Caenorhabditis elegans: one gene and its partners. The protein of the gene in region 3 interacts with the protein of the main gene of each other region in a pairwise test. Each region holds a gene or a part of one and is shown on either strand. Other genes may lie near its edges.

Region 1 (4,973 bases), on a different chromosome or scaffold from region 3:
GACATTAGGAATATTATTTTTAACAACCTATTAGTTGTTCTCTTGAAGGTTGGCTACTGCCAGTGGGGAATGTGTAAAATAATTCCTATGCTGTGACCAAATGACTAAATGTCATAATAAAATTGTCAAAAAATTTGGAAATTATGGAATTTTTCTTCGATTTTTTGACTTAATTATGTTTAAAATACTTATATTCCAACATTGTGGAGATTCAAACATGCGACAGTGATTTAGATTTTTCAAATTTGACTCGAAATAAAAAATTCCAAAATTTTTTGAAAATCTTTATAACGAGATTCGGTAATTTCAACAGCATATGAATAGTTTTTAATAATTTCCCCATTAGTCGTAGTCCACTTTTAACTTTAATTAATAATTAAAACCATTAAGGTTTAAAACCGAATTTCAAAAAAAAATTTCGATATAGAAGACTAAGAATAAAATATAACTTTAAAGAAAGAAGTTATGAAAGTTTTTGTGAGTAAAATGAGTACCAATGTGTATTTTGGGAGGCACGGGGTTGGTGATGAACATTATGTGTTGTATTACGCATGCCATAGACCAGTTTTGCGCGGATTGCATGATCAAGTCGATTGACTTTTCGTCTTTTTCGATTAAATTGATAACCGATCCAGAATAATACTTATATAATTTCATTGAATTACAAAATTCAAATGAGTTAGTAAAAAACTAGAACATTCAGTAAAATTTCAAAGCTATTTGCAAACCACAAACTTGAAATTTGAAAAAAATCAAACATGGAAACTCTAGACAGTGTACACAGGACAAATTACACTGATTAATCTATATCAACTCGCCAAGTTTACAAAATTTCGTCGAAAAACTGATAAGCACATGCAAAAATTCGTGTGAATTGGCTCTAGATAGAAAAATATGAATTGGCTCTAGATAGAAAAAATAACTAAATCGATAATGTTTCGTGTCGTTTTCGATGTATTTTTATGGCTCGCTATCGGCAGCAGCTACCGCTTGTGGCTGTTGTTGGGCCCCTTTTTGACGAATTAGGTGAAGAGAATCGAACGGAAATGAAAATTTATATGAACACAGAGTGGAAGAGTGGTGAGAGAGAGAGAAAAGAACGAAAAGCAGGTGGAATCAACAATGAAAGTGCAAACAATTGTGCTTATAAACAATTTGGATTTGGATTTTTTTTCAACAATTTTTAAAAATTCTATTACGATGAGAAGTAAGAAATATGAATGGAATAAATAGAAGTCTGAACAAATTTTTTTGAAAACGAAAAATTGAACATTTTGTTACGAAGCGTTTTCAGGTTCTAAAGTATTATTTTTTAGGAAAAAACATTAAAAACGTCCCAGTAATCTACTTTTAATAATTTTGAACTAATTATTGAGTAACATTTAGTTTTAAAAGTTTAGAAAAAGCATGGACACTGAAAATTAAAAAAAAACATGTTTAAACAGAGAAAAAAATTTGAAAGATTAAAGGAGCGCGCGATTTGTAGCATGAGGGTCTGCCACGAATTCTACAGTTGTTCAGATCATTTTTTTTGAATTATTCCACAATCTTTCTTCTCTTTGGAATTTAATTTTTCTCGAAAGTTATTTAATTTTTCTATAAAAATGTGCATTGCAGTTTTAAAATGTTTTTTTTTTCAATTAAACGCATGAATGTGATTGGTACACGCGTGAGACGCAAGTTCTCGAAAATCTGCGATTGCGAAAGGCAAAAGTATTCATTTTTTCGAAAAAATAAACAAATTGCTCAAACTAAATTGAATATCGATCGTCTTTGCCCTCAATATTTTAAATATCACGCTTTTGAAAATTATTTCGAAATAAATATTCAGTTTCAGTGAGACTCATTCAATTGAACCTGATCACGTGCTGAAAGTCTGCTGTAACAATGAAGGTTTGTTCGTTTTCCTATCTCTACTTTAATTAAAAATAGTGTTAAGAGTAATTGTTCATTCAAATAGATTTTTTTTCATTCAGTAAAAAATGATTAAGTTTTCGGAAAGGAAGAAAACAAAACAAAAACATAGAAAAAAGTGTGCACGAACGAACACACAAAGCATATGCGTCAGTGTCTTAACCCGTCTAATGTCTCTTCATCCCCCTACACTCTCTCTTTCAGTTCACCCGACTAACACATTCAACAAGCAAACCCGTTATTGATTCAATTTTCTTTCGTAATATTCCTTTTTTATATTTTCAGAAACAAAAGTCATTTCCAATGTCTGCTTATGAGGATTTGCTCGGAAAAATCACTGCTCCAACTATCACTGTTGAGAATTGGGAGGGAATTCTCGCATTTTGTGATATGGTTCGTTCAATTTGTTTTAAAAAATGTATAAACCTTTTCACTGATTTATAGATAGAATTCTTTGTCGTTTGATAAAAAATCATATTTTAAAATTAAAATTTCCTCCTTAAATTTGCTAGCTGATTTTCACCGAAAATCATTGATTTTGGACTAAACTTAATGTTTTAGTTTAAAATTTTCAGATTAATAACGACTTCGAGGGATCGAAAACAGGAATCAAATCACTTCGTAAACGTCTCAACAATCGTGATCCTCATGTTGTCCTTCTAGCGATTTCTGTACTTGATTCGTGTTGGGCAAACTGTGAAGAAAGATTCAGAAAGGAAGTATCGTCTGCACAATTTATCAATGAACTCAAAGCTCTTTGTACATCGGTGAGTTTTTGTTTAAATCTGAAATTGTTAAACAAAATATCAAAATTTCTTTCATGAAGTTTTGTATTTCTTTAATAGATATAGTATACGCAGAAAAGAGATAAAAAAGAGAAATAGAGTTAGAAAAATAAGTATAATACGAAAATACGATACATTTCACCGCGTTTACAAAAAAAAATACAAAAATTTACAATTATTATAGAGTCAACGCCAAGTTGCTGAAAAAATGCGATTAACTGTTCAAAAATGGGTGGATACAGAATGCAAAACTGAACAATCACTGTCACTTATCGTCACTCTTCACAAAAATCTTGTTGCTGATGGCTACTCATTTGTTGTGGATGATCCAAAAAGTAAAACGAAAGCGATTGATGCAAAGTTTGCAAATGATCCGAATTATGTGAGTTGTGGAAGTTCGCGGCAATAAATATCAAAAATTAATAATTATTATAGGTTGGATCTGCTCAGGAAGAAGAAGCAATCGCAAAAGCCATTGCTGCTTCATTGGCGGATGCAGAGAAACAGGAAAAAGCAAAAAAATCAACATCCACAATGTATCCATCAGCAAAAGCAAGTAGTCCAGCAGTTCAGACTAATTCGAATATTCCGGAAAAGAATGTTCGAGCGTTATACGATTTTGAGGCTGCTGAAAGCAATGAATTATCTTTTGTTGCTGGAGATATTATTACAATTACTGATGAAAGGTAAGCAACAAAAATGTGTTCTAGTTTAAATTGAAAGCAATCGCTTAAAAATCAAATCAGGAAGTTCTTCAGTTTTTTTTTTTGTAATTTAAAATTAATCATACCGAACCTTTTCGTTACTGACTGCTTCTATCAATTATCAAAAAAAAAACAATTTTTTGCAGCAATCCCCACTGGTGGACTGGTCGTATTGGTACCCAACAGGGACTTTTCCCATCCAGCTTCGTTACTAATCAACTCGATGATCTAAAATCAAAAGAGACGGATTCATCACAGAAAGCCCCAGAAGTTGTAGCCTCAATTAATGAAGCAATCCTTGTTCGTTGTCTTCAAGTACTCCATGAATGTGATCCTACCGGTGAACGACAGGATCCAGAGGATTTGGCCCAACTAGAAGCCGCCTCGTATGCTCAAGGAAATCTCATTGATGCACATTTGGCTAGTATTGATCGACAGAGCAACTCTCTAGCACAAATCGATGTGGCTATTCGTGATGTGCTCGCACTTTATGATGATGCGATTCAGAAGGGAGGATTTCAGCATCAAAGTCAAGGAATGTACCAACAACCAATGCAACAGTACAACTATCAGCAACCAGTCAGTTTTTATTCAGAAAAAAATATTTAGAAAACTGAAATTTTTCATTCTAAGCTTCACGGTAATGCCTATCAATTCAAAAAATCGTATTTTTCAGCCAAACCGAGCATATTACCCACCTACCGGTCCTGTCCAACAACAGCAGCCACAACAATATCCTCCACAACACTATCCGGCTCCTGGAGCACAACCACAGTACGCATGCCCACCGAATTCTGTTCCCCAACCTCAACAACAGCAACAACAATGGCCTGCTCCGTCTTCACAGCCTCAACAATATTAACTTTTTGATTTGTTGTGAATATCACCTTTTCCTCCTTGAATCTGTAACTAGTTCCATTGATATTGTGATCACTTCTAACTTATTTTTCTCGATTCGCCACCCGTTTCTGTATAGTCTTTTGCTTCCTCGAGTTCTCGATAAGATAAAAATGAATTCTTTATTGAGTTTGAGGCAAATATTTATTATACACGAAAATAATCGGATAAATTGAGAAAAGGTAACAAAAATTACAAGAGGTCCGGATCAAAAGATGGCATTGAAATTGATGCATTGGCTGCTCGAATGGATCGTTTACCCCATCCACCGCCTCCCCATCCACCTCCACCCCATCCACCTCTTCCACCACCCCATCTTGATCCTCCCCATGGATCATTGTTTCCCCATCCACCACCTCCATTTCCACCCCATCCTCCATTATCTCCGAAATCGTCACGTCCCCAACCTCCACGTGGTGGTTGACGAGATGGATTAGTCTGACGAACTTGTGCAACTGGAGCAACTGATCCAGCTGTAGTTCCACACATTCTACGAAGCTCTGATTGAGTATAGCAACTGTTACAGCTTGATCTACAATTCTCAGCCATCCATGGATTTTTCTGACATTCACCGACACGAGCCCATCCGGCACATGATCTATGGTAGTCGACGCATGCTGAAATATATATTTTTTAATTATAAAAATATTTTTTTAAAAATAAAGCTTACATC
Region 2 (3,768 bases), on a different chromosome or scaffold from region 3:
GGGAATCGACAGTATCAAGAATAACTTCAAATGGTGCATGCTCAATCAATTCCTGAGTCGCCTGGTCTGATGTGTAGTCGACTGGAATTGCACCAAGTTGCTTCACAATATCGAAACTACAATTTTTATTTGAAAAATTGCAAAGATATAGATAATCTAACCTGCCCTTTGCACACGTTGCCACTATCTTTTCACATCCCCATGCTTTCAATAGCTGGATTGCCATACTTCCAACTCCTCCGGCTCCTCCATGAATCAAAACTCTTTGTTGTTTGGCATTTCGTTGTGAGACCCTGGCTATTGTAAAAGCTGAGTAGGCTGTCGATGCGACGTAAGGAAGTGCGGCAGCTGATACAAAGCTCAAATTGCTGGGCTTTTTAGAGCAATACTTCGAATCAGTGACAACAAACTCGGCATGTGTGCCTGGAAGAATTACAGGAACAACAGCCATAACCTGAAAACATACGATATTTAATCATGAATCGATGCATAATAGGATTTCGTTACCTCATCACCGGGAGCTAAATTGTGCACATCGCCACCAACAGATTCTACAACAGCTGTACAATCTCTTCCTGGAATTAGAGGGAATCTAGACGCGGCTGCATCACAGGACTCTATTTTTTTCCACGTCCCTAGGAATTCTCTACCGTATCCTTGAGACATGTCAACATCGATCGGATTAACAGACGCTGCCTACAAATATTTAAATTGCTTGAATCAAGAAATATTAATCTCACTTTAACTTTTAGAAGGACTTGTCCTGGTTTGTTTATGACTGGAAGCGGCACTTCTTTGAGCTCAACTCCAGATCCGTTTTCAGAGACCCATGCACGCATCGTTGATGATTTTGTTGAGAAAAATCTTCGTAGAATCATTTTTTCGATCATTTTGCTGAAAATTTCATGTGGAAATAACTTTTTTCTGATAAAAACAAATAAAACTGCACGAAGACTTCAAGTGTCGTAAAATTAAATGCCTTCTGTGTGGTTCACCGCGACGCTAAATTGCACAAATCATCCTTTTCAAAATTTCTCGTTCTTTTGGATTCTTTATCATTTACTGAAGGCTAAAAAGCTTATTATTGTTTTTTTTTAAGTTTATATTCAAAATTTTTTATCTTGAGAACTCATTAAAGATATTTTGAAGATAGTAACACAAATTTTAAACTTTTTTAAATAATATTTAGCTAGCCAAAACAGATTTTGTGGACGGAACGTAAACCTAATAGTAAGCTAAATACTGACGTAACCTTTGGGCCATCGTGAAATTATCAAGTCAAACTTTCTTTTATTCTAATCATTATTTCTCGTGATAAACACTTTCTCTCATTGTCACTCGCTCAATACACATTAGCGTTCGTTTAATTTTTTGAACTAAATATTCTCATTTACACCGCATTGTGTTACTGATTTTATTTTATTGTCCAGAACTTTGACTTTGCGTTATTCTCTGGAACTACTTTTCAGATCTCACCAGAAGCAATTACAACTAATTTTCAGGCCCCAGAAGCAGTACAATGTCGCAAACACCACCGCCAAAAGACGGAAAAAACCCAGAGGCAATGGAGGTGGAGGATGCTATTGATGAGGAGATTCTGAAAATGTCGACGGAAGATCTCAAAAGCCGTACCCACTTGTTGGACAACGAGATTCGTATTATGAGAAGTGAAGTTCAACGTATCAATCATTCTGCAACCACTCTCAAAGAACGGATCAAGGAGAATACTGAACGTATCAAAGTTAACAAAACTCTTCCGTACTTGGTGTCCAACGTTGTCGAACTTCTTGATCTCGAGGATAATACAGAAGAAGAAGGCGCAAATGTTGATCTCGATGCCCAAAAAACCAAGTGCGCAGTCATTAAGACTTCCACTCGTGCCACATATTTCTTACCAGTTGTTGGACTTGTCGATCCAGATGAGTTGAAGCCAGGAGATCTCGTTGGTGTCAATAAGGATTCATATTTGATTCTTGAAAAATTACCAGCAGAATATGATTCTCGTGTGAAGGCTATGGAAGTTGACGAACGGCCAACTGAACAATATTCCGATATCGGAGGATGTGACAAGCAAATTCAGGAGCTGATTGAAGCTGTTGTGCTTCCAATGACTCACAAGGATCGATTTGTTAATTTGGGTATTCATCCTCCAAAGGGTGTGCTCATGTATGGACCACCAGGTAAGATTACGAAAAATTTTTGATAAAGTAGTACTCCTAGAAAATAACCATTTTAATTACAACAGCTCAAGTGTAAATTATTCGTTTTTCAGGAACTGGTAAAACGATGATGGCCCGTGCGGTTGCTGCCCAAACTAAATCAACATTCTTGAAGCTCGCAGGCCCACAACTTGTTCAGATGTTCATTGGAGATGGAGCCAAGCTTGTTCGTGATGCTTTTGCTCTTGCTAAGGAAAAGGCTCCAGCTATTATTTTCATTGATGAGTTGGATGCCATTGGTACGAAGCGATTCGATTCAGAGAAAGCTGGAGATCGTGAAGTGCAACGTACCATGTTGGAACTTCTTAATCAACTTGATGGCTTCCAACCAAATGATGATATCAAGGTAAGCTGAGTTCCATTTTAAGTTATATTTTTAAGACGGTATAAGCTGTAAATATGAATTTAAGGTCATTGCTGCAACGAACCGTATCGATGTGCTCGATCCCGCTCTTCTTCGTTCTGGTCGTCTCGATCGTAAAATTGAGCTTCCCCATCCGAACGAGGATGCCCGTGCCAGAATCATGCAGATTCATTCCAGGAAGATGAATGTCAAGTATGTTTTCGCGACAGTTTTATTTGTAAAATTTAGTCTAATTAATTTTTTTCAGCAAGGATGTAAACTTTGAAGAACTGGCCCGCTGTACCGATGACTTCAACGGAGCACAATGCAAAGCGGTTTGTGTTGAAGCTGGAATGATTGCTCTTCGACGAGATGCTACTGAGATTCTTCATGAAGACTTTATGGATGCTATTCTGGAGGTCCAGGCAAAGAAAAAGGCGTCCCTCAATTACTACGCTTAATCCTTCACTCCCGGTTGTCACTGTGTTCCCTTTGAATCGCTCCCGAATTTTCTCACGCGATTTTTTCTTACTTTCATCTTTCGTATTCTATTCCCACCCCTCTCCTGTTTTTATTGATTCATCCTCGAAGTGCGTGGATTCCTAATTTATTTCCGATCAATGTGCATAAATGGTCACTCTTCGAAATGTGTTTCTTTCACTGTTTCAACATTCTGCGTGCTCTTCAAACATTTAGCGAGACATCTCAAATTGTAACTTGACCGATCCAGAAGTCAGTACTGACGTCAGTGAAACGTATGCAGAGAAAAGCTAAAGTGCAATCGCGCCCCAGTGCCAAATGGAAACGCTCCGCCTCTTTCATTTGGGTCTCGTTAGATAGAAAGTATTTTCTTTTTTGAAAATATTTATCAATTGAAATATCTTTACAATTACTGTTATCAATTTCATTATTGAATAATGCGAAGTGTATCAGATAATTATTTAGTAGTTGCACATGAAATTGGGGATCCTGTAAGCATCGAATCTTCGGAACCAACACCTCTTTTGAACCACTCTCCATCGATGCAGAAAAGTTCGGAAAGTATAAAGGGATTTTTCTCGAGCTGTAAATATTTGTATTTCATTGATTATCTTTCTGAAATAATTTTAATCTTACAGGTGGTGTATCTGTTACCAATTCTTTTGTCTTATGACTATATGCTACTACTTTTGATTGCGGAGGACACAAAGCAGAAATTGCATTACA
Region 3 (3,768 bases):
AAAGACTGGCTAGCCAGCTGTCTCAAAAGTTTGGAAGTTTTATAACAATTTTTTCTGATATTTTTGGTCTTATGAACATGTAAAGATAAATTTTCTTTAAAAGATAATTTTTACGTCGAATTAGAAAAAAAATCGAGAAAAAATCGCAATGTTCTAGAAGTCTTTTCCGGTTAATGACGTCATAAAGTTTAAAGCTTAATATTTGAATGGGCGCCTTTTTTATATTGGCTGCATAGCTACTCACCTACACATCAATATATAATTGATACGGAGTCATTAAAAAGTTAAATGTTTTCAACTTTCATTTGGAATTTGAAAGATCATTCAAGTTGGTATTTAAAAATTAGAAAAAGTCAAACCTGCAGAAGAACTTGGGGTCCCCAGTTTTCCTGTATCATAAACCGAACACCTTCAATGACCAATCCGTACATTTTGCGGGTTGATTTCTGCTAGAAGATGTTTGAAAATGCTGACTAAAATCTGAATAAGGTGTTTCCACTACCAACATCTTCCAACTTCCGTGCCAGTTTCCGTTAGCTGTACACTGTTGCCCCCTATTTTAATAATCTCATCTTCGATTCGTAATATCCATTAGCTCACCTCTCCCCCTTTCCCTTGAAATACAAATGTCTGCGTCTCTCCCCGCTCGTTGCTCTTTAGGTCTCCCACCTTTTCCTCTATGTAAGGCAATGGTCAAGAGACCGCACAACACAGTGGTTCATGTGTGTATCCCTTACCCCTCCACAGAGACACAGCATAGACGGAGAGAGTCTAGGAGACCGAGGAGAGCAGTATACTTGTCAAGGCTAATTCTCATGCGTTAGGGCCGTGCCCCATTGGCGCAGTCGGTTAGCGCGTGGTACTTATAGTCTATAGGTTATGCCAAGGTCGCCAGTTCGAGCCTGGCATGGGGCAGATTATTTTTGTTTTATTTGAGGTGTCTAAAGTAGTTTAAACGACATTTGTAGCCCCTATTTCGTGTTTTGTAGTGAAATGTAGTCTGTTTGATTTGTGGGAGTTGGAATCGATCTTCTACGAACCTGTGATAAGAATAGTGATAACCTAAACATTGACGTACATGCATCTTTATGATAAACATGTCATATGACAAGTTAAGCAGGTCAAAGTTAATAGCTCGATGTATTCTAGTTAGTATAACAGCTAACACACCAGAGCCAAACTAGCAAAATCTGTTTGAATGTTTGTTTTTAAATTAAATATCAAACATTAATTAAAACAAAATTGATAGACTGGTATGTACTTTAATCCAGATCGTCAATGCCATGCAATCTCGCATTATGGTCGCGTGTGACGTCACATTATCTTAAAACACGGATGTTTTTTTCGGGAACCGAAAAAACGAGCTGATAATTGTAAGGAAACTATTTTCAGTTTAAAATTGTACTGCTGGAAAGTTGATATGACCAGGATAGTACGAAAATACACCTATTAAAATGTTCGAAGAATTATTGGAACAGTCTATTACTAGGGATTATATTTAAAGGCATAACACTATGAGAGCACAAAATATAATATTCTTTAATCACCTCTACAACTCGTTAACCCTGCAAATTTTCGCTTTCAAAGTCCAAGTTTAAGCAAATAATTTGAATTCTCCCGCAAACATGCACGTGTCTAATCAGGCCTTTCACTTCGAAATGAAACCGGAGCTAGTAGCGAAATGCCTAATTCTTATCAGCAATATTCGAGAAAACGCCAAACTTCAAAAGTTATCAGTCGCTTGAAACGAAAAAACTATAAAACCCCTGGTAAGCGCTTGATAAATTGGTCGACTGTCGAATTTCCCAATTCTCCAGCCAATCGAAAAATGGTAAGGCTTAATTTTCCTGAAGTTTAACTTCAGTTTCAAAAACTTTTCAATTTCAGAAAACTGCAATTGCTGCTCTTCTTGTCGGCCTTGTCGCCGTCAACGCCTACAATGTTGAGGTTAAGCACGGAGATGCCATTCCAGTTGAAGCTCAAATGCTTCGTGGACAGGAACTTGTTGATTACGTCAACAAGGTTCAGACTTCCTTCAAGGCTGAGCTCGGATCATACTTCAGCTCTTACCCAGATACCATTAAGAAGCAATTGATGGGAGCTAAGATGGTCGAGATCCCAGAAGAGTACAGAGTTAGTAAATTTGAATATTTTAAAGATTTTGAAAAACGCTTCCCAAAAAATACAGATTTCTTTCAAACTAATTTATCCTAATGAAATTGTTTCCAGGTTTTCGAGATGACTCATCCAGAAGTCGAGGATGCTGCTGTTCCAGACTCATTCGATTCCCGTACCGCATGGCCAAACTGCCCATCCATCTCCAAGATCCGTGATCAATCATCCTGTGGATCGTGCTGGGCTGTCTCTGCTGCTGAAACTATTTCTGATCGTATTTGCATTGCGTCAAATGCCAAAACTATCCTTTCCATCTCTGCTGACGATATCAATGCTTGCTGTGGAATGGTCTGTGGAAATGGATGCAATGGTGGATATCCAATTGAAGCCTGGCGTCACTATGTTAAGAAGGGATACGTTACCGGAGGATCTTATCAAGATAAGACTGGATGCAAGCCATACCCATATCCACCATGTGAACATCACGTCAATGGAACTCATTACAAGCCATGCCCATCCAACATGTACCCAACTGACAAATGCGAACGCTCTTGCCAAGCTGGATATGCTCTCACCTACCAACAAGATCTTCACTTCGGACAATCTGCATACGCCGTCTCAAAGAAGGCTGCTGAAATCCAAAAGGAAATCATGACTCATGGTCCAGTTGAGGTTGCATTCACTGTCTACGAAGATTTTGAGCATTACTCCGGAGGAGTCTACGTTCATACCGCTGGAGCCAGTCTTGGAGGACATGCCGTAAAGATGCTCGGATGGGGAGTTGATAATGGAACACCATATTGGCTCTGTGCCAACTCATGGAATGAGGATTGGGGAGAGAACGGATATTTCCGTATCATTCGTGGAGTTAACGAGTGCGGAATTGAGGGAGGAGTCGTCGGAGGAATTCCAAAATTGTAAATCTCGAAACATTGTGTTTGTGATTGCAACTTCAATGCCTATTGTACAATATGTATTCGATTTATAAATATTTGAATTATTCTTATATTTTCTGTTAACATTTGCATACAAACTTGAATTACATATTTTTTTGTCAAGATTAATTCGAATTCTGTTTCTTTTGTTCCAAAATTCAAATTGTTTGAAAAGGGTTATTATAATATAATGCACAGAACTTGTACTCCCAAAAAATTGTATGAAAAATATATGTTCATTGAACAGATAGTAAACGAACAAAACAAAACAAAGTAATGACATAAAAAATAAAAAGGGATAATGAAAATACAGAATATGCAATAAGTAGATACTGCATCATAAGAACAAAATCAGTTGGAAGACTTGTTAAATCAGATACTCCCAATGGCCAATGATTTGTTGATAACATTAAAATCTTTGACATTCGATTATGAGTTTCTGATTTTATCATATCAATATCATTTCCAAAAAGACTTCGATCCATTACTTGACTTATTTCCACTGATTCTATTGCTGCTGAAATAATGTGATTTTTTTAAATTTTAAACTTTTCAAACTAAAACTCACTTTTCATAAAAACTGAATATTTTGGGAATATAAAATTTGGCACAATAATGACAAGCAGCAGAATGGCAACACATTTAGACAATGCCTTTGATGGATTGAGAATAGCTGTCAGACATATAAAACCGACGATCAGAGCAAATATGGGAAATA
Region 4 (4,987 bases), on a different chromosome or scaffold from region 3:
CTAATTGGTAGTGACGGTACAATGATTTGATGACAAATGACCAGAAAATGAAGAAATCCCGAGACATAAAGAAAAAACAAAAAGTGCGAAAGATTGGTGACTTGAAGAGGAATAGAGATGGATGCAAAAGTCAAAAAATCAAACATATTGTATTATATGAACACAACGATGTACAGAGAAAAAAGAAAAAGGGGCAAAAAGGCAGAAGAGCTGGCGGGGTTGTTTTGTGTGAATCATCTGAATAAACAGGGCTTTTTATATGCGTTAGCTGGTACGTATATGCATATTTGTGTGTATTGACAAGGTGGCTGAGGTTGGTGCATCTCCTTTTTGTATACCGTGCAGTGCACGGCAGTATCTTTTTACTCGACTTTTCCCAGTTGGCATCGTTTGAGAAAATTTTCCGCAACTTAGTTTCACTAAGGAAAATTATGTAAAAGTAAAATTCACTTTCACTATTGAGTTGTCGGCTTACACTTCGGTTCTCCTTGGGTTTATCAAAGAAAAAAATTATGTTGAATTTAATATTTCTTAGTTGACTATTTTGACTATTTTATTTTTTTTTGATAAAAACAAAAATTACCCAAGTACTGCCAAGGTGGAGCAAGAGGGTACAAGTGTTTTTTTTTTCAAATTTAAAACACGAATAATCCCTACAATAATCAATTCACTACAAATATAAGTAAAAATTAAAAAGTTCAAGTTCGTTAAACCTACTAAGTATACTAAGTAATTACAATCGAGACATTTGCAGATTTTTAGTTGAACAAATAAATTCTAAACTGTATAAAACTCGTGAATATAGAAAAGTAAAAGTATAACACAAATTCAACATATACACCACAAATACCACATAAGAAGCCAGGTAGTAGCACATTAAAAAACACGACAGAGGTTAGTGGCCAAGACGATTTGGAGGAAGGGCAAACGTCTGTGACCCTCTCTGTTTTCTGCCCCTCTTGACATCTCCAACGGAACAATTGAACAGTTTTAATAAGGTTGCTAGAGTCTGGTGGAATGAATGAGTCGAGATTTGATGAGTTGAGTTAGATGGTTCAGAATTGGTAATTTGAAGAAAATTGGCCAAGTGGAATTGGGAAAAGATGCGAATTAAGAACTGAATACTAAGGTAGGTAACGTAAATTAAACTAAAAATAAGCAAATTTCTAGTCAGTGACTCATAATCAAGACATGGTTATTAGATAAATTTCAGGAAAGAAATAATAATTTTGACACTTTTATAATTAAATTTTTGATTTATTGCTTCACGTACAATTTTGAATAACACATGTGTTGTGAGTAAATTAATTGTGAATTTTTGCTCAAAAGTTGTATAATTTTACAATGTATACATTCTATTCCGTTACCACTATTATTAAAATTATCTTCATTCAATATCATCTGGAACTGTTCGAATGTGGGGTATCCCTAGCATATTAATATGATCAAGACATTTACACTATCCGAAAATAGCCAACAAACATATCAAAAATGTATATAATTTTTAAATCACACACAAAATCAAAACAAAGTAACATTTACTTAGTTTCAATAAATCATTTGGAAGTCAACCAAAAAATACATGTCCTGTCAGTTTTACACATTAAGGAGATTCATATTATTTTTATATATACATTGTTGTGTTCAAATCTCCAGTAATGCCCAAAATAATTGAGAAATTATTTGAAAGCAAGACATTTTTTCAAAAATAATTCTTATTCTCCCGAAAATAATTCTTCCGAAGAACATGAAAACTTAAAATGTGTGTAATTACGATATTTAATCGTGTTTGACAATTATTCATATGTGAATGAAAACAAAATTCCGCTTTCAAGACGTTAAATGTTAAAACTCAGTTTTTAACCTATACGGCAAAAGTATAAAAAATTGATAATGTCTTGTGAAAAGAAAAAACAATCAAGAAAAGGTCTCACCTGTATAAATACACCCTCTTCTACAATTTCGGTGTCGGAGCTGGTATCGGATGAGGAAGACGACGCCTCCTCAACCTGAATATCCGGATTTGCCGCCGTGGTGGTAAGTCGTTTCCGGGCCGTGGCGAACACAATTATACGTAGAGAGAGGACAAACGCCTGAATTCAGAAAGCAAATTAATTGGTGAATTGTTGTAAGAAGGTGTGTGGGAATTGAAATGGAATGGTGAAGGCGTCAAGAATTCAAATTTTCTCTAATGAATGGATAGTGTATCTACTGGACTAGTTTTCCTCTTTCCTCTCAGTTTTCAGATCGCCAAAAGGGCAAAAAGTTATCGGAACGAAGGCCCTTATGTAATGAGACGGTTGAAGGGCCACCCGACAACCACAAGACGCAATTAGTATCCGAAATGCAATGATTATTAGAAAAAAGTGGAAGTGTGGTGGTCATGTCTGCAAGCGAATGTACGAGATCCACAATTGCACGCTTTTGCTGCCACCCATACGCGAAACATTTTGAATTTAATAAATTCTGAGAGCGGAAAGCCCGGTGTAAAAAGAAGAATATGCTTGGAAATAACACGGGAAACTGTGAGAAATTTGACACGATTTAAAGAAAAAGATCCGCATTTTTGATACCCTTTTGTTCTTATTATAATTGAGAGAGGGAAGGGTCTCAGGCTGAACGCTTATTTTAAAGAAAACATATGTCAGATTCAATATCATATAGAGGGATGTGATATAAATATAAAGATGGACTGAAAAAAAATCATCGTGAAACTTCAAAAATTTTTTTAATTATTATCCAATATTTACGAATTTTGACAATTTTCGAGAAAGGCGCGAAATCTGAATGAATATCTCTTCTCGAATGAAAATCTCGTTTTGGCCTAACTTTACCTTTAAGTTAAAAAATTTAATAGGAGTATTTTTAATTTAGTATTAACTTGTATTAAAATTATGGCAAAAATACTCACCAAAATAGCAGAAAATGCTGTCTGTAAGATGGCGTTGAAGCCGTCCGGAGGACGACTTTTCTGTGACCTGTTGTTTGACGATTGTAGATTTTCTATGTCCATACAATTCTGAAAAAAAAACCTTTAAAATTTTCATCATTCCTTTTTGGAAAAGCGGATAGAATTTCAATCAAATTGCCTACATATTGCTGAATGTAGAATAATGGGTTTCAACAATAAAAAATGATTCAATAGGAACATGAATTGTTGAACGGAAACTTAGCAATTTAAAAAGGCTTGGTTAGTTTTTTATACAACAATTTGAAATCATTGTTTTGTTGAATAAAAAATTTGAAGAAGGAGACATGTGCGACCACGAGATGTTCCATGATTCAGACTATGATGTATCAACAACTTTATGCATATGTAGTGAAAAAATACGATGATGGGAGAATAACACACACGAAAATGAGCGAAAAACAAAAGAAGGATGTGCTACGGAAGAAGTAAAGAGCTCTCAGGTTTCTATTATGTGCCAATTTCTTTGTACTGTCAAGAAGAGAAGAGAGTGTGGTGTTTGCTCGTGAGTTCTGGCGAACACGAAGACAAGTTGGTAGCGCATAACAATTGCTTGTGCCGCACTAAACCACTTTTGCAAAATCTTTTATCTTCTTTTATCTCTCTAGTGATTTCAATCATACATACGTGCCAGTTTCACACCACAGATTACTGTGCAATAATGGAGTTACATCAAACTTCAAGCTAGTAAAACATTGGGCTTGGTTAGAAAATCAAAATTATTCGTATTTCTTTGTTAAATACAATAAATACTCTTCATATAGAAGTTACATTCTTTTAATAAAATGACAAAGTTAATTACAAAACAAGTTTTGTGATCTACAGAGGTGCGCGGGAATTGGAAAAAAAAAGTATCTCAAATTCTAAAATTTTTGAATTATCTCAAGCAAACGGATGACAAAAAAACTCTACTAAAATACACATGACATTTCAAGCTTAAATTTGTTAGGTTACAAGATTGCCAACAAAATCCGGCAATTCCTGTAATTTTTATTTCCAATGTTTTCAAAATTACCAAATGTCGCGCACCCCTGAAATTGAAATAGTTCCAATTTTGAGTTTAAAAATATTTAAAAAAAAATATTTTAAAAACATCATCTGAAGTTTTCAGTGTTACCAATTCATAACGTGAATAGTTTTTGGCACAGAAACAATTCGAATTTGTTTGAATTTAGATATTATATTATTTTATTAATGATAAAAATATAGTATTCAGAGGTGCAAAAAAACTAATAAAATGTAAAACTAAATTCACAGGAGATGTCGACCAGCAACATGTAATACAACATGATATGTATACAAAACAACAACAAGCAGTAGCAGATTAATAGTTGCATACTTTAGTAACGGTTAATGATGATGTTTTGTGAAAAGATGAGGATAAAAGCTTAGGTTTTTTTTTAAACTCCAGACTTGATTGATGAATTCTAGGTGATTTTGAACAAATTCTGAAAACATATGCTACTCTCCAAATGCAATTGTTGAATTAATCTAGGCAAAATGATGATGGAGAAATTTATAGTGCATTTATTTATTATGAATATAAATATCGAGAGGAATGGAATGAAAGATAGTCGGGAGTGAGAATGAGCGAGAACTCGTAAAATTGTAACGAACTACAGATGCGAAAAGTGATAAGAAATAAAGATGGAAATACAACAGATTATGATAATGTTTGTGCATGATGTTATGTGTTATAATTCGGTTTAAGAATGAAAGTGGTCAGGAATCTAGAGGAACGTTGAAATTTCGAACTACTTTTTTTAAATGAATCTCACTAAACAAAAAATTAAGATTACACGAATATTGAAAACTGTTTAACTTTGCAAACACAATAGAATTTTTTTCAAAACGGATTGCCTCACACTATGATATGACGGATTTTCCGGTCACCGGCACCTGTCAAAGATGATTAATCAATTTGTTTATTGACATTTCTCTCCTCGTTCACCGATAGTCTGATTATAGGGAAAAGGACGAAAAAGGCGATGATAGGATGACGGGCGAAAAGCTTTAGAT

Evidence for each region.
Region 1: the proteins of cpr-9 (region 3) and stam-1 interact in a two-hybrid assay, tested with the Caenorhabditis elegans proteins (one large-scale study listed by BioGRID).
Region 2: the proteins of cpr-9 (region 3) and rpt-5 interact in a two-hybrid assay, tested with the Caenorhabditis elegans proteins (one large-scale study listed by BioGRID).
Region 4: the proteins of cpr-9 (region 3) and ajm-1 interact in a two-hybrid assay, tested with the Caenorhabditis elegans proteins (one large-scale study listed by BioGRID).

Annotation. Positions count from the first base shown.
Region 1 is NC_003279.8:5,901,554-5,906,526, reverse strand, and holds stam-1 (Signal transducing adapter molecule 1), read left to right. Parts: upstream 1-1,831; 5' UTR 1,832-1,887; coding exon 1,888-1,893; intron 1,894-2,199; coding exon 2,200-2,307; intron 2,308-2,489; coding exon 2,490-2,681; intron 2,682-2,883; coding exon 2,884-3,081; intron 3,082-3,134; coding exon 3,135-3,385; intron 3,386-3,549; coding exon 3,550-3,982; coding exon of another isoform or gene 3,983-4,012; intron 4,013-4,079; coding exon 4,080-4,265; 3' UTR 4,266-4,422; downstream 4,423-4,973. Other genes in the region: tyr-4 (ShKT domain-containing protein), read right to left, coding at 4,493-4,917, 4,971-4,973.
Region 2 is NC_003279.8:5,741,306-5,745,073, reverse strand, and holds rpt-5 (26S protease regulatory subunit 6A), read left to right. Parts: upstream 1-1,502; 5' UTR 1,503-1,519; coding exon 1,520-2,180; intron 2,181-2,272; coding exon 2,273-2,565; intron 2,566-2,629; coding exon 2,630-2,775; intron 2,776-2,830; coding exon 2,831-3,023; 3' UTR 3,024-3,206; downstream 3,207-3,768. Other genes in the region: rad-8 (Reticulon-4-interacting protein 1, mitochondrial), read right to left, coding at 1-116, 162-454, 508-696, 741-890. UniProt on the Caenorhabditis elegans protein: Component of the 26S proteasome, a multiprotein complex involved in the ATP-dependent degradation of ubiquitinated proteins.
Region 3 is NC_003283.11:12,001,346-12,005,113, forward strand, and holds cpr-9 (Peptidase C1A papain C-terminal domain-containing protein), read left to right. Parts: upstream 1-1,707; 5' UTR 1,708-1,828; coding exon 1,829-1,831; intron 1,832-1,887; coding exon 1,888-2,133; intron 2,134-2,229; coding exon 2,230-3,036; 3' UTR 3,037-3,239; downstream 3,240-3,768. Other genes in the region: gcy-33 (guanylate cyclase), read right to left, coding at 360-431; F57F5.3 (ABC transmembrane type-1 domain-containing protein), read right to left, coding at 3,287-3,567, 3,619-3,768.
Region 4 is NC_003284.9:9,081,009-9,085,995, reverse strand, and holds the start of ajm-1 (Apical junction molecule ajm-1), read right to left. Parts: upstream 3,014-4,987; coding exon 2,912-3,013; intron 2,094-2,911; coding exon 1,935-2,093; intron 728-1,934; exon of another isoform or gene 525-727; intron 309-524; exon of another isoform or gene 167-308; intron 1-166.